Lytechinus pictus: one gene and its partners. The protein of the gene in region 4 purifies or fractionates together with the protein of the main gene of each other region. This does not show direct contact. Links are inferred from orthologs where the notes say so. Each region holds a gene or a part of one and is shown on either strand. Other genes may lie near its edges. The genes, in order: U2 snRNP-associated SURP motif-containing protein-like, dnaJ homolog subfamily C member 8-like, pleiotropic regulator 1-like and splicing factor 3A subunit 1-like.

Region 1 (7,771 bases), on a different chromosome or scaffold from region 4:
TTAAGTGAAAAATCGTACGGAATACGACAAAATCGTACTATTTGGCAGCTCTGTTGCTGGCTTAGCCTAGAGGACTCCGTGATGCAAAATGATTTTAAAAATATCACGGAATCCAATGCTGGCTCCCACATATTTTTTTCTCTCTCTCTCACTTGTTATGTTTTCCATTTTGTTTATTTTGTATACTGTGCATGTATCCTTAGTTTTAATTTCAATTGTATGTTGTATGTTTTAATGAGAATTTAAAATAAATGAAATGAAAATATATGCAAATCTCATTATCATGCACCTTTTCCTTTTTTTTATAACAAGTACGTAGCAAGGAGGCGGTGGGATGATCTTCCCCACCCTAACTCCCCCCCCCAAAAAAAAAGAGAAGAGAAACGGTGATAGCGAAGGGGTAAACAATGGCGAAAAAGAAAGCTTTGCGGGATTTTCTTTCTCATTCTCTCTAAAATTTTACTTCCGCGCATGTTTGCGAGAAAATCCTTGTTTTTCTCCTTTGTTTACCTTTTCTTTATTACCCCGTTTTTTCATCTCGGCTATATTGCTAGTTTGTTTTGTGGCGGCATCAAGTTTTAAAGAATAATATTTGGGAACGGAATTAGTATTAAGATTATAGGTCAAAGTATATGAAGTCATATTTTATTCAAAATGATCACCAACGTTCCCGATCCTTATAGGTCAGGGTGGTAAACTCTATAATGATAATGCCGTATACCCACAAAGGCTACTTCTTCCGTTTTTCAGCTCTTTACTAGTCGGTCATAATTTATTTGGGGACCACGGACGGCCTGTTCCTCATTTAAAAGGGGGAGTTATAAAAATTGTGCCGTATATATAAAAAAAGACAGTACAATATTACTATAGAATTATATGGAAGTTTATGTCATCAATCTCCTGTCGTCTACTTTGCGCCATTAATTAAGTTCCTAATCATTCAAATACACTGTTAAAATAAATTTAAAATCGCTGTCTACGATGTGAATCACACAGTAATTGTTTAAACAGTTTAAACAAGTATTTAAAATCTTAAAACACACATTTTAAATTTAAATATTTAATTATCAATAATTAAATTCAAATATTAAATTATCAATGATTTAAACATGATTGTTTAAATTTTAAACACTTGTTTAAAATGTTTAAACAACTACTATGCAATTCTCACAGTAAACAGCGTTGTTAAAAATATTTTTGACAGTGTAGAAGTGCTCCATATAAATGAGTTCAATCAGGGGCGGATCCATGATTTTCCAAAAGGGGGGCACAGGGCCAATGAAAAATTTGACAAGCAAAAAAAAATTTTTTTCAACCAAAAATTGAGGATATTTCGTCCCCGAAAAAAAGGGGGGGGCAGGTGAGGGGTTGATTATGCTACTGCCATGCGGTGAATTAAACAACAAATGGTGATTGGTGATTATCAAAGCGGCAGATTTTTTTTTTAAATTATAAATATATATTAACATCTTGACTTAGCATTTCTTTTTAAAGCAGGCAAAATTGTTTTTAAGTATTTCCTTTTGTTTTAAAACCATATTCAATCCTTCCTCATTGTTATAACATGTGAAAAAGATAAATAACATGAAATCATTTACGTTATTGAATCAGAATTCATATTTAAGAAAATCATGAATTGGTTATTCTAAATGTAAAATTAGAATCCATTTGTAAATATTTGTTGGATTTTTTATAATCACAAAGGGAATAATAATAATAATACAGACTAAAAAAATTCGGATCTAGAAATCTCTGAATATATTAAAACACAAGCACACTATTGATAAATATTTTTTTCATTTTTAGTATCATTAAATCAAAATAATTTGAGGAAGTTATATGAAATAAAACACACACCAAGCGAACATTCACGCTTTACCCCCCCCCCCCTTCCCATAAACAAAGCATAAAAAAGAATGAAAAGGAGAAAGAAAGAATGAAAAGGAGAAAGAAAGAATATAACAAATGACAACAAAAACTTATCATAAAAACACAAAATGTAACAAAATAAAAATATATATGAAATAAATATTTTTTTTCATAAATATAGATCTATTTTTTTCCAAAAAAAAAAAAAATGAAAAATGGTATTGAATTATATGCCTAAATCACGATTTAATTGAATAGAGACGACTTGCCGAAAGTTTTCACTCTTACATGCATATTCATTAAACTGTGCTGTAAAGGCATGCAGTGACGACATCTTATAAATATTCATATGCGCATGCGCAGAATTTTACCTCAAACATGGCGATCTCGCGATTGGAACAAAAGTCCGAAAATTGATGCTCTTTTGAAGGATTTCATGGAATTGTATTCATTATTCTTATTTCAAAGGTAAGCTGATTTAGGAACAGTTTGCTTAGGTAAGATTGATATTACTCGTTAGATTTTTAATTCATTATGATCATCGGTTTTCTAATGCCAAACATCGCGAAGTTTTGTACTCCGGTGATAACGAGTGGTTGCATTCAGGACCTCGACACTGTCTAAATAGACGTGTCGAGGTCCCCGGGGCAACCACTGGTACTGCTGGCATCTTTCATTTCAGACAAATACACTAACTTAGTTTCAGTCACTCTCTTTCAGTCGTATAACTCACATTTTACACTCAGGCAGCTAGCAGACATGCATGTGCATGTGCAATGAATCGACACGCTCACACCTAACTTAGCCTGGGCCTGCATGCACTGTATGCAGTGACACACGTCAGTCTCACTCACTCACTCCATCACGGCGCGGCACCAGTCATGCCAGTTCACAGTTGCGTTGAGTGACATGACTGCGTGCTTGGTTGCAATATTTCCTTTCGGACAAGGTGTCAAGAAATATAATCTTTATTCAACACTCGTAAAAAACATTCAAAGACTCAGAAACACCATCAATATTACAATAAGTTTACAATAACTGATGATAAAATATAATAAGCTCGTCTCACCTTCGCCGTTCCAGGAGCGAGGCCCGCCATGATGAATAACCTTCGACCAGAAACGCACGCGTCTACATATCGCACGCGCGCACGGCCGGCCGGCCGGGTACGTACGGGCGCGGCGCGAGCTCGTCGCCAGATCTGCACATTGGATAATGGATACTGCATGCATTTATCAAAACTATGTCTCCTAAATACAATACATGGTTGGCCCTAGATCGAGTGATCCTTTTAGGGATGCACCATTAGATATATCCAGGGGGCTGCAAGTTTTTCAAAAAAAAAAATTGACTTGCTATAATGAGCAAAAAGGAAAAAAAATGACTCACCATCCGGCTCACCATGCAGATATAGAGTAAAAAAAAAAAAAAAAAAAATTGGTCCACTGACAAATCACTGATCCGAGAGGACCGGAAAGGGGCAATTAAAAAAACTTGTTTCGATGGACTAAGGAAAAAAAAATTTACACAAAGAAGAAAGGAAAAAAAATTGCATCAATTAAGTAACCCAAACTTCCAGCCTATCTAATGGTGCGTCCATATGGCCCATATGGCAATTAAGCCCATGCAAACAGTGGTGGATCAGCGTCAAACTGAAATATATATGTATGTATGTATATATATATATATATATATATATATATATATTATAATAATATATATAAGAATATATATATATATATATATTATAAGAATATATATAAATTATATATATATATATATATTCGGTAGATATTCCACGTGTTGGAGTAATATTAAGAGAAACAAGGTTGAAACTTTCATGCTTTAATCCAACAAAATCTATTGAAGTCCACAAATTTTCGATAAAGACGGTTTGTATACTCGTCGAAAATTTGTGGACTTCAATAAATTTTGTTGGATTAAAGGAGAATGAAACTCTTGGAGCAAGTTAGCTTTTGTGAAAGCAGAAAAATCAAAGAATAAGATCAACAAAAGTTTGAGTAAAATAAGACAAGCAATAGAAGAGTTGTGAGCATTTGAATGTCGAGATCACTAATGCTATGGAGATCCTCCCATTGGCAATGCGACCAATATCTATGATGTCACAGATGAACAACTCTCCCCTTTTGGACACTGAAAATATACCCCCAAACATCTCTTTTTGCTCATTCTAATCATATGACAAACGATTCATCAATGATATAATGTTGTGAAACCTCTGTACTCAGGGGCGGATCCAGCTTTCGCCAATAGGGGGGGGCCGAAAAATATTTTCATCAACATTTTTCTCGATTGGCCGCTATATAATCAGATTTTTTGTTGGTTTATCAGGGGGTAGTCCTAACTAAAGACTGAAGTTTTAAGTATATGTTAGTTTTTATTGTTATAAACAAGTTAAGGTATCTCATGTGGTCTTAATATATAATGCGATCGCGAAGCGCGAGCTCAAATTCTTTGATATTTTATGTCCTTAGACCTGAAGATTCTGAGAAGATTTTATAATCATGAAAAAGATAAGTATCCAACTAAACAATGCGAACGCGAAGCGCGAGTCGAAATGTTATTATAGTAACGTGAAAAGAGGATTCAATTAGGACTGTTTTTTAGTGATAAATGAAGAGGATTACAAGTATCACCAATTAAATAATGAGAGTGCGAAGCGCGAGCTAAATTTTTTTGATATTCCGACCTGAAAACTGGACAGTCTAAGCGCGTTTTTATTTTAATAAAGAACAAAGCTGTGTGTCTCAAACAATTAAATGCGAGCGCGAAGCACGAGCTTAATTTTTTGATATACTGACATGATAAAGGAGCATTTTGACAAATTTTGGTAAGAATTTTTCAAAGAGGATAGGTAACTCACAAATCAAACAATGCGAGCGCGCAGCGCGAGCTGAAAATTGTGATATATACTAACAATTTGTGTAAATCAAACAAAATAATGAAAGCTTGATGTGCGAGCTAAAATATTGTGTGCAAATTGATTTCAGAACTGGATATATAAGTGCCATTTAATTCTCTTGAATGGGATTCATTACACAGGCAATGCGAGCGCGAAGCGCGAGCGAAATCTTTTATATAAAGTCTATTTTCCAATTCTTCCCTCACCTTTTTCTTGTTTCCTTTCGGGGTCGGGCCGGCCGTTACGAGGCTGTAAATTACACATCATGGGTATGCTACCTCTTTCTTACTTTTCTTTCTGTTTTTCATAATTTCTATCAAGTTAAAGAGTACACTTTTTTCTGCAGGTTGTCAAAAAATAGGGGGGCCGGGGCCGGCTCGGCCCCCTCCTGGATCCGCGCCTGGTACTTGTCATCTCATAAAGAGAACACCTCACCTTGTGATAGACTCTATAAAAGTGAGAATATAAGTGAAATAAGTACTAAAGTAATGAGGGAGTTGTACGTGTGTGACATCACAGATCTTGGTCGAATTGCCAATGAGAGGATCTACATGGCATTAGTGATCTCAATATTCAAATGCTCATAACTTTCTTATTATTCATTCAATCTTCCTCAAACTTTCAACAATATGTTTCTTTGATTTTTCTCTTTGATATGGATTCAGCTGGTTTCAAGGGTTTCATTCTCCTTTAAAGCATGAAAGTTTCAACCTTGTTTCTCTCTCTCTCTCTCTATATATATATATGAAAAACGTGATTCAGTAGTGAATCAGTACAGAAAAAAGAAGATTTTGCAGAAAGCAGTAAAACAATCATTCTGCAAATTCATTAAACAAGAATTTTTTCTGCAATTTAACAGAACAGGTCTGTTTTAAAAGGAGAAAATGCTGTTTTATTCAAGGAAATTTGTAAGGTTCCATACACCAAATACCAATTTCCTGTAAGTTTACATGATATAATGTAAGATTGCGCAACCTGGTAAGATTGCAGGTATATATATATATATATATATATATATACATATATATTAGTTTTATTGAAAAAAATAAAAAACACATTCACAAAGTTTACGGTTTGATAAAAAAAAATCACTATCAAAAGAAGATAAAAAACAAAAAACATACACATGTATCCAAAGAATGTTAAGCTCCGAGATAGAATTAGACCGACATACGAGAAAAAAAAACCCAAAACATCAAGTTCAAGTTCAAGTTCAAGTTTCAACTCAATGATAGCCTACAACATCACATATAGGAAATAATTACACAGATATAAAATGAAGACCATACAAACCGATACAAATGGATACATGTATATCCATTGCAAGCAATATGACTGTACAAGAAAAGTAAATAAGTGTTTATGGTAAACACTAAATAACGTAATAATCATAAAACCAATAACAATAGGGGGCCTATATACAGTGACAATAGAACAAAATGTAGAACATTCTCGATAAACAATTTGCAATAACAATAACAAATGCACAATCAGATGCCCATCCTGTTCATGATTACCAAAAGTGATTTAGAAAGTCAAAATTTAAGGTCAGAATATCACAAATTTTCATCTCGCTCTTCGCGTTCGCATCAGTTGTTTAGTAAGGTGACGATCGATCCTGTTCATGGATAGATATAAGTGCTTAGAATTTCCAACTTTGGGTCAAAATATCAAAAAATTTCAGCATGCACTTTTGCGCTCGCATAAAATGTTTTGTTAGCTATATATACTCATTCTGTTCATGATTACCAAAAATGTTTACTCGAATGTCCAAATATTATGTCAGAATATCAATTTTTCAGCTCGCGCTCGCGCTTTGCGCTCGCACAATAATAGACACCCATCCTGTTCATGGTTTACAAAATGTGCTTAGAATATCCAGTTTTGGGTCAGAAACTCAGAATATCAAATATTTATATAGATACCCAACCTCTTCGTTGTTACAAAAAGTGCTTAGAATGTCCAGTTTGGGTCGGAAATACAAAAATTGTCAGCTCGCGCATTGCGCTTGCATAAAATTTTGAGATATATACCCAAATGTTCTTGATCACCAAAAGTGCTTACAGACTTTCCAAATTTGAGGTCAGAATTAAAAAAAAAATTTTCATCTCCCGTTTCGCACCAGCATCAATTTATTGTTTATACCCATCACGTTCACGGTTACAAAAAGTGCTTAATATCCGATCGGGGGTCCGTTGAAGAAAGAGTTGCGTTTCAACGCAAGTCAAAAAATCAACCGCAAGTCCAAAATGCGCGCTGTTGATTGGTCGAAAATCAAGTTGCGCATGATTTTTAGAGTTGCGATTGATTGCAACTCTTTCTGCAACGGGCCCCAGGGGAAAACATACAGATGAAAACATTTTTCCACCTACCCCCTCAAGTTAGCGAAAGTTGGATCCGCCCCTTATAAAGAAATGTTAGCTCCCGCTCACATAATTTTAGTAGGGCCTACATTCTGATGAGAAGTTAAAATCCCCAAATGCTTAAAATTCTATGCTTTCAGGGGGCAGTTTCACAAAGCTGATAGTAAGTTAAGAGCGGCTTTAAGAACGACTGGGGATCCTTTCTTTTTAGAGCGTAAGAAGGGTTTACCAGTCACTCTAGACTTACGAATAGCTTTATGAATCCCCACCTGGTCACATTTATTCTTTTAAAAAAGTGATGACTTTTTTTCATGAACACATTAAAAAAGGTGGTCTTCGATTGCCTTTTTTTACACGTGATTGTTACATAAGATAATTTAACATACATTTAAGGCATATGTATATATATACATAAATATACATATATATATATATATATATATATATATATATATATATATATATATATATATATATATATAAATGTGTAAATGTGTATATATATATATATATATATATATATATATATATATATAAATGTGATCAATCTTGGCGATGTACGTGTACGGGTCTCCTTCATAATTATATTTGAGATCAATTGTATGGAGAGGGCCGT
Region 2 (6,862 bases), on a different chromosome or scaffold from region 4:
AGAATTGTGAGAAATGGTCTGAAAATGCAACAAAAGAACCGGTGAGTACCGATTAAACATTATCAATTTATTTAATAGAACATATTTCATGACTACAATTTAACAATTTCTAGATAATATTGCTTAGTTCTAAGCTAGGGCGGCCCAAATGCGCGTGAGTGGAGTCCCGGTTTATTAGCACGGGTAAGTATTGGGGTGTCGCCTAGAGTGCCCCAAGATAGGTGTCTAACGTTAGATTTTAATATTTATTTTTAGAACAAAAAATATTAGCTACTTACTTATTCATGTTATTAGATTGCTTAAAAAGTAAGAGGTCATATCGTAGGTTACCCCACTCCTAGTACCAATGAGGTCCAACATTACATGTATGGACCTCATAGGCGACATCAGTAGTATTTTTGGTTAGAAATCTCTGAGAACAGGATATTTATACATTATATCACAAGTACAAGCTATATTCCTTTCTCTTATTTAAATTATAATTTTATAGTGTAAATGCATCGTTAGCAACAACAAAAAATGAAAGAAATGAAGGGGAACTTACATTTTCATGGCTTTTTCCTGATTTTCTGGGCAGCTGCTCTTCTCTTCTGACTCGCGATCGAAGCTGATATGAAGATCACGTGATTCGCGTTCTCGTCAGCTGATCGGTTGGTTATTCTTTTCGTCAGACGTTAATAATATATATTTTATAATGCTAGCATTCATCGCTAATTTAGGTGAAAGAGATTGAAGTTAAACAGCGCCAGGTCGGAATCATAATTATTTTGGAAGAGTGTATTTATACACTCGATCTCATACCTGACGTAGACGGCGCTATTCAACAAATGCACAATCTTCAATATAAAAAATAAAACAGAAAGAACGCCTTGAACACATGCCAAAATGCCTAACGATTTCTCCGCGGCATTAACAACTATCGTAAAGGGCGCTCCATTTATTAATAAAGATGGATGTATAGCTGTCTATGGCGACAAAATTTGCCGCAAATAGTTACGAAGAATTGTGAGAAATGGTCTGAAAATGCAACAAAAGAACCGGTGAGTACCGATTAAACATTATCAATTTATTTAATAGAACATATTTCATGACTACAATTTAACAATTTCTAGATAATATTGCTTAGTTCTAAGCTAGGGCGGCCCAAATGCGCGTGAGTGGAGTCCCGGTTTATTAGCACGGGTAAGTATTGGGGTGTCGCCTAGAGTGCCCCAAGATAGGTGTCTAACGTTAGATTTTAATATTTATTTTTAGAACAAAAAATATTAGCTACTTACTTATTCATGTTATTAGATTGCTTAAAAAGTAAGAGGTCATATCGTAGGTTACCCCACTCCTAGTACCAATGAGGTCCAACATTACATGTATGGACCTCATAGGCGACATCAGTAGTATTTTTGGTTAGAAATCTCTGAGAACAGGATATTTATACATTATATCACAAGTACAAGCTATATTCCTTTCTCTTATTTAAATTATAATTTTATAGTGTAAATGCATCGTTAGCAACAACAAAAAATGAAAGAAATGAAGGGGAACTTACATTTTCACGGCTTTTTCCTGATTTTCTGGGCAGTTGCTCTTCTCTTCTGACTCGCGATCGAAGCTGATATGAAGATCACGTGATTCGCGTTCTCGTCAGCTGATCGGTTGGTTATTCTTTTCGTCAGACGTTAATAATATATATTTTATAATGCTAGCATTCATCGCTAATTTAGGTGAAAGAGATTGAAGTTAAACAGCGCCAGGTCGGAATCATAATTATTTTGGAAGAGTGTATTTATACACTCGATCTCATACCTGACGTAGACGGCGCTATTCAACAAATGCACAATCTTCAATATAAAAAATAAAACAGAAAGAACGCCTTGAACACAGGCCAAAATGCCTAACGATTTCTCCGCGGCATTAACAACTATCGTAAAGGGCGCTCCATTTATCAATAAAGATGGATGCTAAGCTGTCTATGGCGACAAAATTTGCCGCAAATATTTACGAAGAATTGTGAGAAATGGTCTGAAAATGCAACAAAAGAACCGGTGAGTACCGATTAAACATTATTAAAGTTGTAAATAGATTATACATACCTTGTAGATTTAGTTTTTAAGGTGATATTAGTGCTTAGTTCTAAGCTAGGGAGGCCCAAACGCGCGTGAGTGGAGTCCCAGTTTATTAGCACGGGTAAGTATTGGGGTGTCGCCTAGAGTGGGTTACCCCTATATACTATAGGGCATTATCCTGGTTTAGTCACCAGTCCATTCACTGCCGTTTATTTCGTCAGTGGCAGCGAGCGCTGCTGGCGACTTCTTTCCAATTCCACTCACATTGTTTTGACTTTGTTTGTACTAATGAATAAAAAATGAGTGCAAACACACAGGCAGCCGGCAGGGAGGTGACTAATTTCATAACTTAGGCCTATAAGTACTATAGTATAAATAGACCAAGGATATCAGATGTAAGGTACATGTATTTCTGTTAGTTAGTGAGCGAACACGGAACAACATAAAACAGCCACAAATGCAAAGCCAAAGTCAGTCACAAAGTTCCATTCATCGCACCTCACAAAAGTCAATACGTGGGACAACACAGAAGAATAACGACCGAAGTCAACATAGTTTATACCTTAAATACGCGCATTTCCTGGACAGGATTTTATTTTTTCTTTCACAAATAAGAACACTTAAAGATTAAAATTAATTTCATGGTAGAAAATAGTTACCTCAGTCATAAAATTTGAGAAAGCTGCTTCGGGTTGCCCCGAGCCCGAGGCCGTCGTCGCAGATGAGGAGGAAGCCATTTTTCAAGTTTCTTCTCATCTAGATCTAGCTCAAGCTCAGCTACAATCTCAGCTCCTCCTTATCCTGTTTTCTCGATCTCTTAATTATTAAGTCTTAGTTCTTCATCATTTAGCTGTCTTTTAATGAGGTGTTATTATATGTTTCACATTTATATACACGGTACTTCAGTTCCTCTTTAATACTTCATCCATTGCATTTTTTTTTTGGGGGGGGGGGGCGAACAGAGGCACAGTGCACGTGGCGTACCCGTACGCAGAATTTTTGAAAGAATTTTTGATAGAAGTATGTGTGTGTGTGTGTATTTGAGTTTTGTCAGACGTGTATCAATCAGATATGATTATTTACGTCTGGGACCGACCTTTAACGTCACCATCCGAAAGACGTGACCAGGGCTCGAACCTCGAACCTCTGCATCAATTTGTAACTTCCCCGCATAGCTTGGATTACAGGCGCACGCCACAACGCCCAGTTGTGAGTGATAATTAACCAACAAAAAAAACAAAAAAAATTGACATTTTTTAGGGGGGGGGGGGGGGGGTTGAACACCTGTAACCACCCGCTGCATACGCCACTGCATATGTGCGAAGGGGAGGGAAAAGTGCTCCGTTTTTTTTTAAATGAAATTAAAGCCTTGATTTACATGTATGCAATAAATTTAGCCTCGATTATGACAAAAATGTCTATTTCTTTAATTTTTACACCGACATGTACCAATCGATAGCCCTCGTTGTGGTCTTATAATCCCATTCATTACACGCCCTTTTCGAGTTCAGTTTGAATAAAAAATCACTTTCTGTTTTAATTCAAATTTCGCCTATTCATTTACCACTGAAATATGACTATATAACTTTAATATAACAAAATACAATGCAGTAGAAAGGATTGTGAAAACTTTTAAAGCCAATGCTTGTGGTTGGGGCCAAGAGCACTGGCGGGGGCTTGGCTTCCTTTCACGAACAAAAAAAAAACAGAAATTGAAAAAAAGGGCAAGGAAAGGATAAAGAAGGTTGAAATATATCATTTTCTGAATCTAGTAACAAATTGGACTTTTGTAACAAAAGTGTCTAAATCGTTTGCTCGCTCGCAATTTTTTTGTTTAAATAAATTTTACATGATAGACAATTTCTAGCCCCCTAACATCTTTTTAGATAATTACGCCACTGGCCGAGAGCATGAATAATATTTGTTTTCGAAAATACAAATAAGCAATTAATCTCCCAGTATCAGAAATTTCGTCGCAACGTGGGAGAGAGAGAGAGAGAGAGGAGAGAGGGGGCGGGGAAGAGGGGTAGAAAGATTGAATGAATCAATATTTATTATTAAAGTACCCTTTTCCTGATTAATATAACTCATGTCTTTCAATAATGGTATGGTACATTTTATCATCTGTACAAAAGGTCTAGACATTTTATTATCGAAAATCATCGCAGGAAAATAATAGAAACCTCATGAAGACATGGCTTAACAAATATATGTTGGAATCTATTGCGTAATACAAGTAATAGGGATATAAACTGCACCATACAATTATTTTCAGTCTATATGGACATTGATGTGGTGGAATGACACAGCAAAACGGTCACATCAGGTCTAGTCGTACATCCATGGTTGGGGTTGGCAAGAAATTGGTTCATTAGATAATGACCCACACGTGACCGTATCGATGTCGAACGAAAGAATCAATGATGGCAATTTATGCACCCAGCCCATTAATAACTGACATAAGAGAGCATTTCCAGAGCGACAATTAATTACAGTATCAAATCGACCATGAACAATTAACACCACTCCCCCCAAAAAAAAATAAGAACAAAAAAAATACTCATTGTTTGAAGTATAAATTTCAAGTTTTACAGATTAAGGACCAACTTGACTCTTTGAGCTTCGAGATTCGACAATCAAGAAAGTTATTTTATTTCCATCATACATCAGAATATAGATATACAAATCAAATGTGTTAAACAAAAATCAACTAAAAATGAATTGTAAATATTGTAAAATAGCTAAAATTTATAATAACAAAAGCTTGTGCAAAATAATATCAAATGTGCATGGAAATGAAAGGATCCATGCTTGTGGAGGTAATGAAACGGCCAATTCGTCTACTGCCTCTCACCACATGGCCTACTTTCATTTAGTCTAATGCCATTCTGTCCATCAAAATTTCGTCTAACAACCATTTGGTCCATTAAACATTTGGTCCAATCAAGAATTCGTCTAATCACCATTTCGTCTCCTAAACATTTGGTCTACGTCTACTATCCATTTAATTTTGATTCATTTTGCGCAATTTAACACTTAGTCCAATTAGATGGTTAAATGATGGTTAAATGGTTATTGGACCAACTTGGAGTAGACGGAATGGCATTAGAGTAAATGAAAGTAGACCATGTGGTGAGTGGACGAACTGATGGTAGACCAAATAATATTACACGAGTTGGCATTAGACGAACTGGAAATAAACCCTAGCGTGGTTCCCCCAAATAATAATTATTTATTAAAACAAAATTATGAAATTTGATGACGTTAAACAATGGCAATTCCGCATGTTCAGGTAGAAATAAAACTTTTTTTTTCTCATGCCAATGAGGAGAAAATTAAAATATACAAAGGTGATGACATCATTCCCTTCATTTGCATACCGAGCAGGATGTGCCACATGATTGTTTTGTGAAATTAAAAGCAAAACTTTCACTCCTGTAATTTGTTGGCGGTGAGGGGGTGGGGTCGTTTTCCCTTCATTCTGTAGAATTTGATTATCTTACTATTAAACCCATAATTGTCAACATGGTAGCGAGCTTAATTCTGAACTAATAAACCTCAAATACACATGACCATTTTGCGGTATATATCACTACGTCAATCGCCGCGCGGAATTCACTAAAAATACATTGATCCTTCCCCTGACGCATTATTTCAGCTCAAAGTTTAGTTGAGGTGCAGGTTCGTTTTGTTTTTATTTTTTTATAAATTATTATTGTGAAAAAAAAACCGTTTGTAGTTTAAAGCTTTAATCGACGTGATCGAAGAATTGCTCTCATCAAAACAAAATTCTTTAAAAGAAAGAAAAATATGGTATGAGGAAAAAGAGATTGTCTTTGCAAGCAAACTTTCCTTGTAAGAATGGAAACGTTTTGTGAAACACAGTAAAATTCGTTTTCATTCTTTCCCTTTCGCTCAGAGAACAATGTCAGTAAATCAGTCTGCTCTGGCTCCGAAAGCGTTTATCTCTGAGGTCACTCCGAAAGGATTTGAAAGGATATGAAAATAACTCTATTAAATTATTCATATACGTCATACTTTTCAAGTTATGTCCAATATTTCAAATTTCCATGCAGTTATAATGGCGCTGTTTGACCATGTTTACTTCAATGCAACGTAAACCCCTTAGATTGCGGCAATGAAATATTTGCGTATTCTTTGACATGTTCGAAGCTTTGACCCAACTAAATACTTTTCCATTCAGGGTGGACGATAGGTTATTATTCATCCTGTAAAATAATAAAAATAGAATATAGCCAATCATTTAATCCGATTGCTTTCCGATATAGCTATTGCCACATACAATAATAACCGCAGAAGACATCGGGTAACACAGGTGTTTCATGTCCACACCATTCCTATCATGATCATCATCGATGTACCCCAGACATCAGACATGCATGCCAAAGATAAAAAAAAGCTTTGTAGGGGAACTTCAACTCTATGCAAACAGTGGTTTGCTAATTTGTCACTAGTGTACAAATGAGGAAGAGGGGGGGGGGGGGGGGCTTGGTGGGTCATGCCCCCATAAAAAGTTATACGACCCAACAACACAAAAGGGCAAAATATCATGATGGAACTTTTTGTAAAACTCTATCACAAAATTACGTTTTCAGTTTTAAAGGTCAAGAATTTTTCTCGCTCTCTTCGCTCTTTGGGAACTTTAAGGAAACCTTGTCACATACACCACGTATTACTCCCTCAATATTTTGAATCCGGTTACGCCAATGGCATGTGTTTTATAATTGGATATCCATGGCCTTTAATAAAAAACAACAACAACAAGGAATATATCATTTTCA
Region 3 (7,610 bases), on a different chromosome or scaffold from region 4:
CAAAAAACATATTCCCGGATATTGAACAAACTATGTTGGTTTTTCTTTTAAGTAGCAACAGCATTTTTTACTCCATTTTTGAAAGCCATCTTGGATTTTTGAACAAACCGGACCACTGACTGTCCTTGTACTTTGTCCCAATGTCTTATTTGACCATTGAAACCATGGTCTAGACACCAAAATCATATCTCTCAGGTGGATATGAAATGAACTATGTCCATTTTAATTATCAACATCCATTTTAAACTCCATTTTTGGAAGCCATCTTGGATTTTTGGACACACCAGACCACTGGCTGTCCTTGTAACTTGTTTCAATGTACTATTTAATCCTTAAAACCATTGAATAAAAAACAAATTTAGATGAATTGTGGATTTTCAGCCTACAGCAGCCATTTTGGGCGCCATCTTGGATTTTCCTGGTACCCTGGAGTGCTAATATTCACTCTAACTTGTATAAATAAATTATTTTACCAATTGGACCATGGAATATGAACCCAAATAGGATTCTAGGGTGGATAATGATTGAGTTATATCCATTTTTAGTGAATGGCGGCCATCTTGGACGCCATCTTAAAAATAACCACTTTCCCGGATGCGGATTTTGGTAGATTTTTAGTATGTTATTTCTAAGGTCAGATAGTACAAAATACCGTTGAAAAATCATTTGTTGCAATTTGTTCCGGGTCAAACCATATATTGACCCGTCTACAGTAGGATTTTTGAAATGAAACTACTCAGACCTTAATCATATAGTGTAATTGAGCGACTTCTATAATTTCAGCCAATTCTTCTTTATTGGTATGATTTTTACGAGGTCGCCATCATTATCAAGCCTTATTGCTCACGATGGCAGTCTCCTGCATTCTTTTAAAACTGTCATTTTGTTTGATATTATTGAACCGATGCTTATAATGTAACTATATTATAAATTTATTATATATATTACATGTTTACATATATTACCTTGTAAACTTATATCTGATATATTCCGTTCGACCGACCGACCAACCGACCAACCAACCAATCAAACATTAATGTTCATAATGCCTAAATTATTATACAATCAAGTCATCGGGTTACCTTGTTCATACTCCTGGCTCCCTTCTCTTATTTCTCTGTGTGATAGTTCAGCTATTCTCTGGTGTTCTGTGTTAGCTGTAAGATTCTGTACCATCCCATACTGATCTCTAACTTTGCAGGCAACCTTAACCGTATCTCTGTTAGCACACACAAAGTAAAGGATATACATGTATATATGGAAATATTTGGCACGGAAAGTGACAAAAAAATGTCGGCGTGTTTCTACAGAGAATCATTAAGAAAGGTTCTTATTCCGGAATCGAATAACTGTATCGCCCTTAAACTATCCTGTTTCTACAGAGCGAATAATCCAATTAACTCACATTCCGCGTTGCAAATAAACGGATAAACACGGTTATGAGAAACGGTGATTTGCGCGATGTGGTTTATCAATAAACCGCATCGTGCAAAATACGGTTTCTCAGAATCACCTCTGGGAGGTGTTTATGAGATGCAGTTTATCAATAAACTGCATCGCGTCTGTTTCTACAGGGAAGTTTTTCCAGAATTCTGGATTGATAATGGATACTTACGTGGGTAATACCGTTGAATGGTTCTCTGCAGAAACAAGCCATTTGATTACAAAACTTTATGAAAAACATCTCATGATTGAGTAAATTCCAACTATTCCAATTGGTAAAATTTCTCCTTATTCTCAGACCTGCCAACCTTCTACAAAAAAAAGTATTCTTAGAAGGAAAAAGAGTATCTTTAAAGATTTGTCTCAACGTAACAATTGCCAGCCTGTTGTAGTGAGATCAGTAAAAAAAAATATGTGAAATGACTCTACTTGAAAACTTGATAATTCACCATTTTAACATGTGCTCGTAGGCAAGAATTTACTTGTTCTTTTCATGTAACAAGTTACTGGCCTGACAGTGATTTTTACCGGTCTGGGACGGTCGGACCGGCGTTAGTGTCGCGTGCTGTGTGTAATCTATACTCCATGATCGGAAATTTAAAGAAAAGTATTTGCGTATTCATAGCAAAAAAGAGGAACAAACACTCTAAAAAGGGAACGGTTGCATGTCTAAAGCTCTCACTGAATGTCTTCTGCATTCAATCAAGTACTTGTGTGGGTTATTGTTGATCAATATTGACAAGATATTATAAAGCTGAGGATGTTTTTTTTATGGTTGATGATCCTTTTCACCTAAAAACTTCCGGCATTAGTTTATGACGTGTACTTCTAATTCCATCAAATACAACTTGGTTTACTATTGAAAAAATTATTCCATCCTTTAAAAACAAATAGTGATTTTGTTCAAAATTAAAGATACTATTACATGTAGTTACACCCTGATTGTACACATATTATGTAACCAGAACATGCACGTAGATACAAGCAAGGTGTAACGATTTTATCTCTTTAAGTGTATCCTTATATTATTTTGGAATAGGGGAAATCAATAGAATAGAACTAAAAATCAATGCAAACCCTGCATTTTGAGAGTGATTTTTGAAAGGAAGTCATCCATGACATCACAATGATCACAGTAAAAATAATGCACATTATGCTATTGAAATTGATAGTAGCAAATAGTAGTGCGCAGCGCGATGCTTGAATACACATGTAATACTGTCTCATATTACGGGGTTGAAATCATCACTGGGAATGCGCGTAACAATGAGAACAACATTAAAACAACAACAGCTTGTTCAATATAGGTTTGTCTCACAAACAAATTGACCAATCAGATTACAGAATTCATGAGAAATATGGCCCACTAGGAGATAAAAGGTTTATCATAACATATGAAAGTGTCAAAAACAATATGCCCATACCAAAGATGTACTAATAAAAAATGATGTTTGATACTTACGCATGAGGATCCCTGTTAGGAGGATGGGCATTATCAGCTATGAACATTTCATGTGACCTCTTGAGTGATCGAAACACCAGGGTATGGACGGACTGTTTACTGACCTGTAAGTTAAATAAAACATTGACATTTTACCCTGAATTCATGCAAATTCAGCCTTTGACTACTAATCAGATTTCATCATGATAAATACCAGGTATTGAAAATTATCTACTACACAAATAATTATGTTTTTGAGTGCAATGGACAAAGTACTTCAAAGATGAATGATCCATTAATCTTATTCATTACATTTTTCCCTGAATGAAGTATTTTGTCCATTGCATGATTGAAAAGAACGTCCATTATTTGATTTATACGACACCTAAGAATAGATCCTTTTTCATTTTGAATTTATGACTTTTGATGCAAAATATGCTCATGCAGTGTGAGCTCAGTCTGTTGATTGTCTTGTACATACAACCGTCGTTTACATACAACCGTCGTTTCTATACAACCGTCGTTTCTGGGGAATTATTTAACAATTTCTGACATTTCACTATAATCCCTATTCACCGACGGTAGTGTGTTAGCAAGGCTCGACATTAGCGGTGGCCCGGGGCCACCAGAAATTCACCTCGGGCAACCATTATTGAAAAAATGTTAAGTTTTGGTGGCCCGAATAGAGCAACCAATAATTTTCAGCGCAATTTTTCTCCCGATTTTGCATGCATTTATCAACTTCCTACAGTTCAAATTGCAAGCCAATTCGTCATGCGCCCTTTTTGTTAATCTACACACACACAAAGATTGCATAGTCATGACAGTATGTAGGCCTACCGCTATAGCATACAGTAACTTTTATCCAGCTGTGCTGGCCGTCTGGCGTGAGCTTTGCATGCATGAAACTACTGAAGCTAGCTGTGCGCTAGCAGACTATTCAGACTTAGGGAGCTGCGATACGAAATGTTGCTGCTAAGAAATCTTCCACAGAACTTTGAAAATCTACGTCAAAGTCACATTTTACACCAATGAAATGCCCTTCTACAGTCCACATTACTAAAATCTGGTGTAACCTGTTTATTTGCAAGCATTAAAAAGAAGAATTATGACCTCTCTTTTGACTCAAAAAGACCAATTTCCAAATGCATTAATACACATCACAGTCCCACATGTGCATTTGTATGTATGTTGATACTTGGTTTCTTTCGAAGCTGTGTCTTTTCTAGCTAAAAATAAACAGACAGTTTCTTTCTTTCTTGTTTATAAATGACTTCTTAAACCACTCTTGAGGAAGTTAATACTTTGGGAAGGCATTTCATTGATATGAAATGTGAATTTTTCCAGCATTTTGGCAAATATAGGGAAGGATTTTTTTCTCACACTGTTTTTTCCAGATATAACTTTTGCCGTTGTCTTATTTTTCTCTAAATTTTTTCTTTTCTTTTTTTTCCCTGTTCTTTGTTTTTTTCTTTCTCCATTTCCTTTCTTTCGTTTTATTTCACTTATTTATTTTATTATTTTTGTTTTCTTTTTTTAATATACTATTCTAAAAATTATTTTTGTTTGTTTCCCCGTTTTATGCATTAATCTAATTTTGCAGCATATTTTTCTGTGATTTTCTCCTGCTATGATATGCTGGAAAAGAGAAAATAAACTGGATTTGGGGCCTGCATAATCTACATATAGGTTTTAGGATTAAAAAAAGAAGAAGGGAAAAATCATTGTTTTGTACATCTATCTGAGTTTGCTATGCACTATTTATTTACTTACTATTATGAGTGTGTGTCTATACAGAGATTTTTAAAAGTCCACACAACCTGGGAACAATACAATTCTTTTATTCTCTTTCAATCATTTCATATTTACAATAATAGAACAATTTATATATTAACACAAATCAATTAGCAAAGTAAAATAACAGCAAACAAGATTTACATACAAGATGTATTAAGTGAAAGTAACTTAGTGGTACTGGCTGCAGAATTAATATTTCAGAAGTTTGTTTTATTCATTTTTAATTCATGTTTTTCTTTTTCTTTTTCGGGCCACAAAAGTTTAATATCGGACCACAAAAAAAAAAATTTTGAAGGTTTTGGTGGCCCGAACGGGACACAACAAAAAAAGTTAATGTGGAGCCTTGGTTAGTGCGAGCCTGCATGTGTAATCAGGTCAGCAATTCGGGCGACCGGGTTTTGACCAGATTTTAATTTTTTTTTTTATTCTAAATGACATTATATTATCTAGAACGAAGGCCCACTATTTTTTCGTTAGACTCTAATCTTTCTTTTGATACTATATAAGTTCTAAGAAAATATCAAAAATATACGTTACCGATGATTTATTCCTTATTTTTTTAATTTTCCGCCGGAGAGGAAAAATGGCAGCCGTGTGTTGCGCTTTTATCAAGGCTTTCCGATTAAATTTTCGATATCCTGGCCAATCAATGCGAGCGACAAGTTCCGAACGCACGCACATCTACAAGCGCAAAGCAGCGGCACAAATCGCGATATATAGCGACTGGTAAATACGTCTGTAAGGATGATGACGTCATCCAAGATGGCAACTTACGTTGACCAAAGAAAGGATCGAAGATGACTATGTTTCAATCATCATTTGAAAGGAATTAGCGGTAACTGCGGTCTGAGGTACGATATTTCTTAATTTTATATTTTTTAGTAAGTTCGAATGTACTTTCTTTTTTATGTGACATTTTATGTACAAAAATACGATCCGAAAATTGGGTTTCTGCAGAAAGTTAGATCTAACGTTACTGCTAATACGTCGGCTGTACGTACGGGCCAACAACTCTTCAGTCTATGTATTGGTGAGTGGAGCCAACGCAGACAAGTCGCAGTTCAGCGGAACAACCAAAATACAGAGACTGAAGCTTTTTGGTCTTACGTTAGGCATGGCCCGTGTTTTTGGACCAGTCGCCCTCGACTAACCGACTAAAACTAAGTTGCTGTCTGTCATGTCCGTCTTTCACTTTCTTTTAAGCCCGAGTCATATCGATTATTTTGAAAACCGGTGTTCGACATCTTTAATTAGATCGATCATCGATGAATCGAAATTTGAAGGTGGGGAAAATCGAGTCATTGTTTTTGCTCCGGCCGGCCGTCGATGCAGCGCTATGCATGCACTACATGCACTGACGGTCTACACTGGCTGGGTGAGCGTTGCAAAAGCAGATGACAGAGCAAAGTTCGTTTGTATTTTCCATGATCAAAAAACACAAAAAAGGCCGGGTAGCAATGCAGAATTCTTCCCAAAATATCTTCAACAATGATATTTGCAGATGATAACATATAGGTTTAAAATGAAACAATATTAAAGAATTGAATCACGCAGAGTCGATCCGAATGATTTTCGGTCAACTAGCATTCGCAGTCCAGACTCGCACACACCAGCCCCGTCCGCAGCCCCGTTCACTCACTCTCCCGAAACGACAGGCGTGCTTGCCAGCGCCATCTAACAAGTGCAAACAGCGGGGAGAGCGCTGTAACTTGCCTGAGATTGTGTAGTTGGCGGGGTAGTTGGATCCAAAATTAGCTCCAAATAAATTGATGGAAATAAATACGTAATTTTCTCTGGATGGTCATTTGAATTGGTATTCAATGCTGATATAACGATTGTGAGGAAAGATTGTGGAATATGAGTTCTGACGATGTTCGAGACTTAATCCTGATAATGATAATCCATTTTTTTTTTACACGAGCTTGTGATCGAAATAAATACGAATGTCTCGGATCGAGCTCTAAATTCATATAAATTATTATTGGATGTTAAATAATTACAATTTAATAAGATTTTATGGCCATACTAAAAATATTGACGATGTCAACAAAGTATGTTATTTTCATATGGAAGAATTAATAGTATTATACTGGCATTATTTTTATTTTTTATTCCATCTCTGGACGTCTCCGAGCTCCGAGAAAAGAAGCACAATGCGCATGCGCTTTCGATTACGTCTGACATATTTTCCATTCATGAAATCAGAGCCCAAAGTTGGGCACAAACCACTCACACTAATACGAGGTTAGTATATATACTAACCTCGTATAAGGGACCGTGTTTGACCCTGGATTTCGAAGTAGTCGGCAAACATCGCTTCATTGCTGAAGTAATATTTGCCGAAACTCCTTCTCGCTACGCACCGGGGCTCTTTCCGGTAAGTAGCAAAACATAACAAAATTATACATATGAGTTTGAAATAATTTCATTATAAAAAGAGCAAATTTCGCTTACCTCGGCCTAGCAAGTGACTTCGTTTGTCTCTTCTACGAAAATACAAGGAAGCCCGCTAATAATTTCACAACCTTGATTCAGCTCCTCTGTAATTTTATAACTGAGTCTAAATTCTTTGAATGCTCAATTCTTAACATAATTCAAGATTACTATTGGCAGGGTGCTACACAACTTTTTTGAAGCACTTGCCCAGTCAGGCAAGTAAATTTTCAAATAGTTGGAAAATACTTGCCCGAATATATATTTCACTTGCCCGAAAAAATCCTTCAAAACAAAGTTTTATTGCTTCAAAACAAGTTATAGCCTTACAGTTTTACATACCATACCATTGACGGCTTTAAAAATACATTTTTCAACATGACTACTGATGTACCTTGTAGTTGCATTTCTTTTTTAAATGATTTTTATCTTGAACATCATGACAAAATAAATATGCTCTTTAATTAATTTCCTAATCTCATATATTTTCCATATA
Region 4 (7,513 bases):
ATATAACATTATAATATCACCATGATCATGATAATTAGTCAATATGTTTTTTTTAATATGTCGTCATATTTCGCCTTGCCTCTCATATATCCCATGTGCCGCCAATGATTAGTCTGCAGGCACAGACCCTCATTGAAACCTTGATCAACAAGTGGGTTTCCACGCAAAGACTAACACATACAAAACTTGCTGTTGAGAGAGGGCCTTCAGTACACAAAAGGCATCAGTAGGCTGCACATTCAGACCCTTAACTCGAGTCAAGGGTTTGCACAGCAGACTAGCAAATGAATTAAATAGAGTAATTGAGATATTGAAAACTCACCTTCTTACTCCGATAGTCTACAAACAAAGCAATGTGAATTGCGTGAGGTATCCCTATCTATCAGCTAGCTGCATTCGACGAACTGCAGTTGTCTACGCATCCGATCCCTTTCGCATACTAAAAGGCAGGAAAGTGCATTACGCATTTATGTACCAGTGTAAAATCAAACGTTAATGCTGCACGTGATTAGAATTAAATCCATATGGATTAATACATCTCTCACTTGTATTAATCGTGGTTAGACGTCTGTCAACACTTTTAGTCTCGAAGATTATCTCTGCCTTTTTTCGTGGAAATTTCAGGATTGTGTAATCAGAGGAAGGCGAATGACCTGTACTTTTCATTTTTGTGCATATATAGACTATTTGTAAATAAAGGTTTATTCCACCCCAGTAAATGTTGATTTGAATCAAAAGAGAAAAATCAAACTAGCATAAATCTGAAAATTTCAAATCAGAATGTAAAATAAGAAAAATATGCAATTTTAAAGTTTTGCTTATTTTTTTTACAAAACATAACTCAGTATGTATGATATGCAAATGTAAGAGTCGATGATGCCTCTCACTCTTTCTTTTTTTTTTTTAGTTTGAAGTAAGGATTTTTATTTATTTTTACAATAATGACCAACTTGACTGAACCACAAAATAATTAAACAATGACAATTCCATATGGCATGTGTTCAGGAATACCTTGTTTGAATTTATTTTGGTTTTATTTCATTAATTTCTATATCCATTTTTTGTTTGAACATACAAATAACAAAAACATAAATACAAAATACAATTCCACTGGTGGATCCAGGGGGGGGGGGCACATCTGGTCCATGCCTTCCCCCTTGAGAGGCATAATAAACATTTACAATGTAAATTTGCCGTTCTAACACAAATGTGCCCCCCCCTTGAAAACGAGGACCATTTTTTTCTTGCTTGTCAAATTTTCCGTGGACGAAAATGACCTTAAATTTGGGTGAAAACATTTTTTAAAATTCATATTTCATACAATATAATACAAAATAAGTGGAGAGTAGGTGATGCCATCAGTCCCCCACAATAGGAGCACGGCGTAAATATAACTGTTTTTTAATTAAGTGATTGTAAAGCATTTCGTAACTTTCTTATTTCACATCCGATTTTGATGAACTTTGATGCTTGTGTCATTTTACACTTTTTATTCAACCCAACTGCCTCTTGGATTGGACTTGCCCTTTAGATATTCTAATTCGCTCTATTTTAAAAGGTGGCATGTAGACAAAACGTACTTAATGAATAGAAGCCTGCAATGATTGGGTGTAATTGCATGTGCGGTGGTTGATGAATTTCGATTGGAAGGGGGACAGAGTTTGCCAACCATATTTTTTTCCAATCGAAGAAATAAACAAATTATTAAAAAGAGAATGAAAATAGGGAAAGGATAAAAAAAATTGGGGCGAAAAAAAGAAAAGAAAATGGAATTTGTTTTGGCTTGGTCTTGTAAATATCTCTATATTAAAGGAGCCCCTTTAATAAAAGGGAAGTTTTGAAGAATTTAAGGGGCAAGCCCCCCCCCCCCATCCCGCCCTGTTTATAATAATGGCCCGATGCCAAGCTTCTCATTATCACGTGATTACGATGACCATGATAGTAACAAAGACAGGAAATTAACTAATTAAAATTATAATTAGCAATTAAGTTTGCGGTAGAAAACTTGAGCCATTTCGATTTTGAAATAAATCACAATTGAGAGAGATAGCCGGTTTTAAACACCTCTATCTTGCACTTTTTAAAGTCTATTTTTAAGCCCCCCCCCCTACCGATCCGACATTGGGTCTGCAATATATTCGTTTTAAATAAAATGTTTTTTTTAAGATACACTATTTCAAATGTTTCATATATTTCGTATATTAAGGGAAATTGTGAACGCCCCCCATAAAAAGGGGCGGATGAAGTAAGCGGGTGTTTATGGGAGATTTACCCCTCCCCCGAAAAAAAAACTCCGCAATGATTAAAATTGTATCAAATTATATAAGATGAGAATCATAAATGCATAAAAGTGTGGAATTTTGGTTCATCGCACAATTCAGGTGATTGTATCAATATTATATAAACATTTAATGTTATTGATGAACACGCTACAATTAAGATGGTGAGAAAAAAATATCTTAGCATGCTCCTGATTCTCAGGGGAGCGTCTGATGAAATGACCTGTCAGACGTTTAATCCGACAGTTACCATGGTAGCAGTGCTTCACAGCCAATCAAAATCAAGGAACTTTGTCAGATCTGACAACGCGTTAAAGCAAAATATTTATGAAATTATCCCCATTCATCATAAATTTCCAAATGCAACACGATTTAGTGGAATAATTAAGAGTAAAGTGTTGGAAGAATAATGGGAAATAATAATAATCGTGAGATTTCCGTTATACATTGAACGTACTTAAGACAACATGATTATACCAGGGGCGAATCCAGGAATTTCCAGGGGGGGCATTGTATACAGAAAAAAACTAAGCCTCAAGAAAGCTAGGCTTCACTCCAAATTAATGGTGATGATGAATGAAATATTTGACAAGCAAACAAAATAAATAAATAAAGGGGGGGGGGGGTCCTCACTTGCGTATGCACAACATATCCCCTTACAAAGATTTGTTATGGCTCTCAAGGGGGGGGGGGGCGTTGTGCCCCTTCCTGTAACCGCCATGGACTCGTACATTCACAAGTACGACACCAACTAGAAACCAATCGATAGTAGGTCATTGGTAATAGCGTTTTACATTTGGTTAATTTGGAGTTGATTTTGCCTCGATCTATGTCAGGGGCCGCGGAACGGTTTTCAAAGTGGGGGGGGGGGGGGGGCTGAGCCAAAAGTGGGGGGCTGACCATGCTAAAAATCACAATCATATGGTAATTTTTACGTTTTTGTACACGGTTTTGAAAAAAAGTGGGGGGCTGAAGCCCCCCCCCCCCAGCCCCCCCGGTTCCGCGGCCCCTGTATGTGACTGTGAAAAAAGGGTGATCGACGCACTTTTTTGGGTTCAAGGGCTGTTGAAAATATAACCTCTGTTGTGCGATTATCCTTATAATTAATTCATTCTCATCAAGTAAATTCATTGTGCGAACTGGTAGATTTACAGCAAGGTTCTGCCGTGGATATACTTTATACATGGAAAATGTTGATTATATGGGGCGTCGATACGGGGGGGGGGGGGGGCGGAGTCAGTGCTGGGTAGTGGGTACCCCCTGAGAAAAGTGATATGTGAAAAGTGAATGTGTTCTCTTTCTTCCCCCTGTGCACCATAGTAATGACACCAAAACCCAGCTCCACACATTTATTTTATATTTCATTCGCAACCTTCACACAACCCGCCAAAAACTCCTCAGCAACTTCACCAGCTCTAACAACTCTTAGGAAGTGTTTACATTTTTCAACTGTTACCAGCGATCTCCGACCTTAAAGGGGAAGTTCACCCTGACAAAAAGTTTATTGTAAAAATAGCAGAACAAATAGTAAAAAATATTGCCGAAGGTTTGAGAAAAATTCATCAAATAATTAAAAAGTTATTAGAATTTCAATTATTTGATTTGTGACGTCATATGCGAGCAGCATTCCTACATAGCGAATGGTAAAAAATCAATGAAATGTCATTTTCTCAGAAAATTGAAAATGGTTTTCACTGTACCTTTTGTATATCAATAGACAAATCATTTCACACCCGATCATGAATAGAAAACAAAATTAAGTCATCAGGAACCATGCAAAATTTGAAATTCATGCATTTTATATTACATAACACATGGGGCAGCTGCTCGTTTATGACGTCACAAATCCAAAACTTTGAACTCTAATAACTTTCTTACTCTTTAACGCATTTTCCTCAAACCTTCACCAATAATTTTTATTATTTTTTCTGCTATTTTTACAACAAAGTTTTTTTCAGGGTGAACGGAGGAAGGATACAAGAGAGATAGTGCACAAAGTTGAAATAATGAATTAAGAAAAAAAAGGGGGAAAAAATAAGAAGTCTAGGTCATGGAACTATCAACTCTCAATCAAGAGGAAAAATGACGAAAGGAGCTGCGGACAAGGGGGGGGGGGGGCGGCGAACAATTTTTTTTGATATTGTGTTTTTTATGCAGTTTCAGCAGCAACTCCAGTCTCACAAAATTCGAAATAATTTATGTAAAATTATAAAAATCCTCTGTCGAATATTCCTGTTTGGACTATAGAGGGCTAGGGCTTTATACAAAACGAGAATTGCACGCACAACGATTCTGTTGGAAATAAGTGAACACTCTTTACTTGTTTTTCACTTGTGTAGACCTTCCGTAAGTATTCATTGCTTGATTATATTAGAAGAAAATACTTGTGAACGTTCTTCGAATTAATTCAATGTGAGAGAGAGTTTTAAGAGTGCTTGACTGCTTTTGTGTACGGCTGTACCCTTTGGCTTTGCTTTTAATGATAATATCCCGCCTGCGCAGTGTTCCTTTCGACCGGCTTCGGTCCGACGTGTTGAAATTTATGTCATGTGAAATTAACTATATAATCTAGGAGTTAGGACAAGAGTCCGACTCAAGGCAGCTAATCAATGCTATTGTTCGATGTTATTATGGATTTATCCTTGTTGCCTTGCCCTTTATTGTGATGCAGTTAAAGTAATCAGTGTCTGAAGCCAAACTGGAAAATTTCTGTCATTAAAAACGGGCTGATTTACTCAGAAAAAAAATGGCACTCTTTTTTTTTTTACGGGAAGTTTTTTCATTTTAATTTCAGCCCAAGTCGAGGTTAGCACAGCCAGGACTCAGGCTCCTGAATATTTTGCCAAGTTGTTATATATCACTTCATTTGCAAGTCTTTACATCAAAGTAATACAAAGTCAATTATAATATAGGCCTACATTTTTTAGTTTAATGGGAAATGCAGGGCAATAAAATTCACTATACAGAAGAAAAAAAGTCATAAAGTTGCTCCAAAATATATGTTTTCTTTTGGGTTTTGAGCCCAATTTTAAACAGGTAGGACAACGGAAAAAAACGAAACACCATTACTACTAAAAAACTTTACCTTAATATATTCTTTATTAGCATGATTGTCAAAGACATTGCTCAAAGCTTACGTCAAAATTTCCTAAATAGTGAAAAATAAGGCTTAAATACTCCATAAAATGCGCCTGGAAATGCATGTAAGTTAGCATTTGGCCCATCCCCTTAGGCTATACTGTGTGGGTTAGTGGCTGAAAATAAGCATTTTAAAGTCTTTATGCTGACCTGGCTCTGTTTGAGCCTCTGGGGAGCTGTGGAAACATGTCACATTGATAGATAATCAACTTGGCTGCCAGAAAATATGAAGATGTCGCTACATGTAACTACATTGTTCACTCAAAATATAGAATGAAAATTTGAGGCCAATTCACCTATTGATATTTCGGACACATGTCTACAGCACCAATCAGGGGCCCATTTCATAAAGGACTTGCAACTGTTGTAACTTTGCCATAATGGCAACTACAATGGTAACAGGGCTCAGCAGCCAATCATAATCAAGGTTACCACGGTAATTGCCATAATGGCAAAGTTGCACCAGTTGCAAGTCCTTTATGAAACGGGCCCCTGGTGCCATTGTCTACCCTTTAATTTATAGTCTAAAATAAATGGGCTACAATACCATTTGGACCCTGTTGGCACTAAAGAGTCATATTTTTAAATAATATTAAACATAAAAAACTTGAAAATGTTAAAAGTAGAGGAGCGTTTACCTGTACTAACAGTCTGTTATTGTCGCCACCTTGCCTAGCCGTCTTTGTTATCGTAGCCTAACTACATGATGCGTATAGACAGTGACAATATCATGACATGAGCAGTGCTAACTTAGATAAAAAAGATACTTGCATCGGCCGATAAATATCATGAATACTACCTTAAATGTTAAAGATCCAGACCGGACCCGAAAATGAAATTGATAAATTATATACCAATCGAAAGCTTATAAGCTACTAAATACACCAAGGTATGCTTTATGCATTTTCACCGCTTCCCAGCTGAGTATTTTGCTTAAGAATATTCCAATTATCGGGTTTCGAACCCCGCTTAGAAAATAGGCTTTATTGTGCTTTTCACCTGCCTCGAGACCGTGACGTCACGTTGTGTAAGAAGCGTCGTGATTCCATAGGTTTGTACACAGAAAAACTGGGTGATTTTTTTGCTTTCCAGATAACGCATTTCATTCTCTTCACTTCTATCACAGAGGGATATCACATATATTTTTACCCACAAGCTTGAATTTATGAAATCTGCAGTTTTGAACTAGTTTTTGCCATATTTTATTTCCTGCTTATTTGGCGCAGATTTCAATTCTATCTGCATTTAGATTATGTATAACAACTTTTCCTGACAATTTAGGCCCAATAAGAGCCAAACAAAGAAATCACAAAAAAGGTAGTGAATAGTTGTAGGTTTACAACAATTTGAACAGTGAATAATTTTGAGTGCCATTTTCATCTGAAAACGAAAAAAAAAATGGATTCATAACATGGAAATGGAAGAAAATACCCAATGCTTTTGTACACAAACCTATGGAATCACAACCCTCCTGACACAACGTGACGTCATCATTTCCAGGCGACGTGGGGGTGCTCAATCGAAGCGTACTTTGGAGGAGCAGTTTCTTTGATTTTTATTTAATATTTTTAACTATTGGAAGGAGATATATGTAATATTTTGGGTATATTCGTATTGTATGAATCATATCCCAATCAACTTTTGAGTCTTACCTGAAGACTTTTCTGTTCCCCACTCCAACATTATTGCAAGAATAACTCAATTGTAGCATTACTAGGACAGTACTTGAACTGAATGATGATCCTAAGCACTGTTTGAAGACATTGAAATTTGTGAGATATTTCCTATTTTTGAGCAAGCGCCATGAGCGCCCAGCTGAGGCGGATACCGGCGCTATACAAGAACCCATCATCACCCATCATCATTACCTTTATTTTGATATATGATTGTTTTTACACCGGTCAGGGTCTTTAAGGGAAGATTCATGATATTTATTGGCCGATGCAAGTATTTATGTGCTCGCCTTTGAGACACTCTTGTTCACTGTTGCTTGAGGCACCCTACTTAAAAAAAAACATACCATCAGAAAGAGCATCAAATTTCCTATAAGACACTTTATGGACAATTTTTTTTAATCAAGATGAATTTGTAGACCT

What was found.
Region 1: the proteins of splicing factor 3A subunit 1-like (region 4) and U2 snRNP-associated SURP motif-containing protein-like purify together in Homo sapiens (affinity purification with mass spectrometry; 4 studies listed by BioGRID and IntAct, with this or other methods). This does not show direct contact. The link is inferred for Lytechinus pictus from reciprocal best matches to the Homo sapiens genes SF3A1 and U2SURP.
Region 2: the proteins of splicing factor 3A subunit 1-like (region 4) and dnaJ homolog subfamily C member 8-like purify together in Homo sapiens (affinity purification with mass spectrometry; 4 studies listed by BioGRID and IntAct, with this or other methods). This does not show direct contact. The link is inferred for Lytechinus pictus from reciprocal best matches to the Homo sapiens genes SF3A1 and DNAJC8.
Region 3: the proteins of splicing factor 3A subunit 1-like (region 4) and pleiotropic regulator 1-like fractionate together in Homo sapiens (co-fractionation; 3 studies listed by BioGRID and IntAct, with this or other methods). This does not show direct contact. The link is inferred for Lytechinus pictus from reciprocal best matches to the Homo sapiens genes SF3A1 and PLRG1.

What each region holds. Positions count from the first base shown.
Region 1 is NC_087260.1:6,519,612-6,527,382, forward strand, and holds the start of U2 snRNP-associated SURP motif-containing protein-like, read right to left. Parts: upstream 3,018-7,771; 5' UTR 2,969-3,017; coding exon 2,939-2,968; intron 1-2,938.
Region 2 is NC_087248.1:8,325,601-8,332,462, reverse strand, and holds the start of dnaJ homolog subfamily C member 8-like, read right to left. Parts: upstream 3,007-6,862; 5' UTR 2,798-3,006; coding exon 2,720-2,797; intron 1-2,719. UniProt on the Homo sapiens protein: Suppresses polyglutamine (polyQ) aggregation of ATXN3 in neuronal cells.
Region 3 is NC_087249.1:42,998,914-43,006,523, reverse strand, and holds the start of pleiotropic regulator 1-like, read right to left. Parts: upstream 3,012-7,610; 5' UTR 2,953-3,011; coding exon 2,906-2,952; intron 1,220-2,905; coding exon 1,083-1,219; intron 1-1,082. UniProt on the Homo sapiens protein: Involved in pre-mRNA splicing as component of the spliceosome. Component of the PRP19-CDC5L complex that forms an integral part of the spliceosome and is required for activating pre-mRNA splicing.
Region 4 is NC_087250.1:20,509,164-20,516,676, forward strand, and holds the start of splicing factor 3A subunit 1-like, read left to right. Parts: upstream 1-4,511; 5' UTR 4,512-4,625; intron 4,626-7,513. UniProt on the Homo sapiens protein: Component of the 17S U2 SnRNP complex of the spliceosome, a large ribonucleoprotein complex that removes introns from transcribed pre-mRNAs.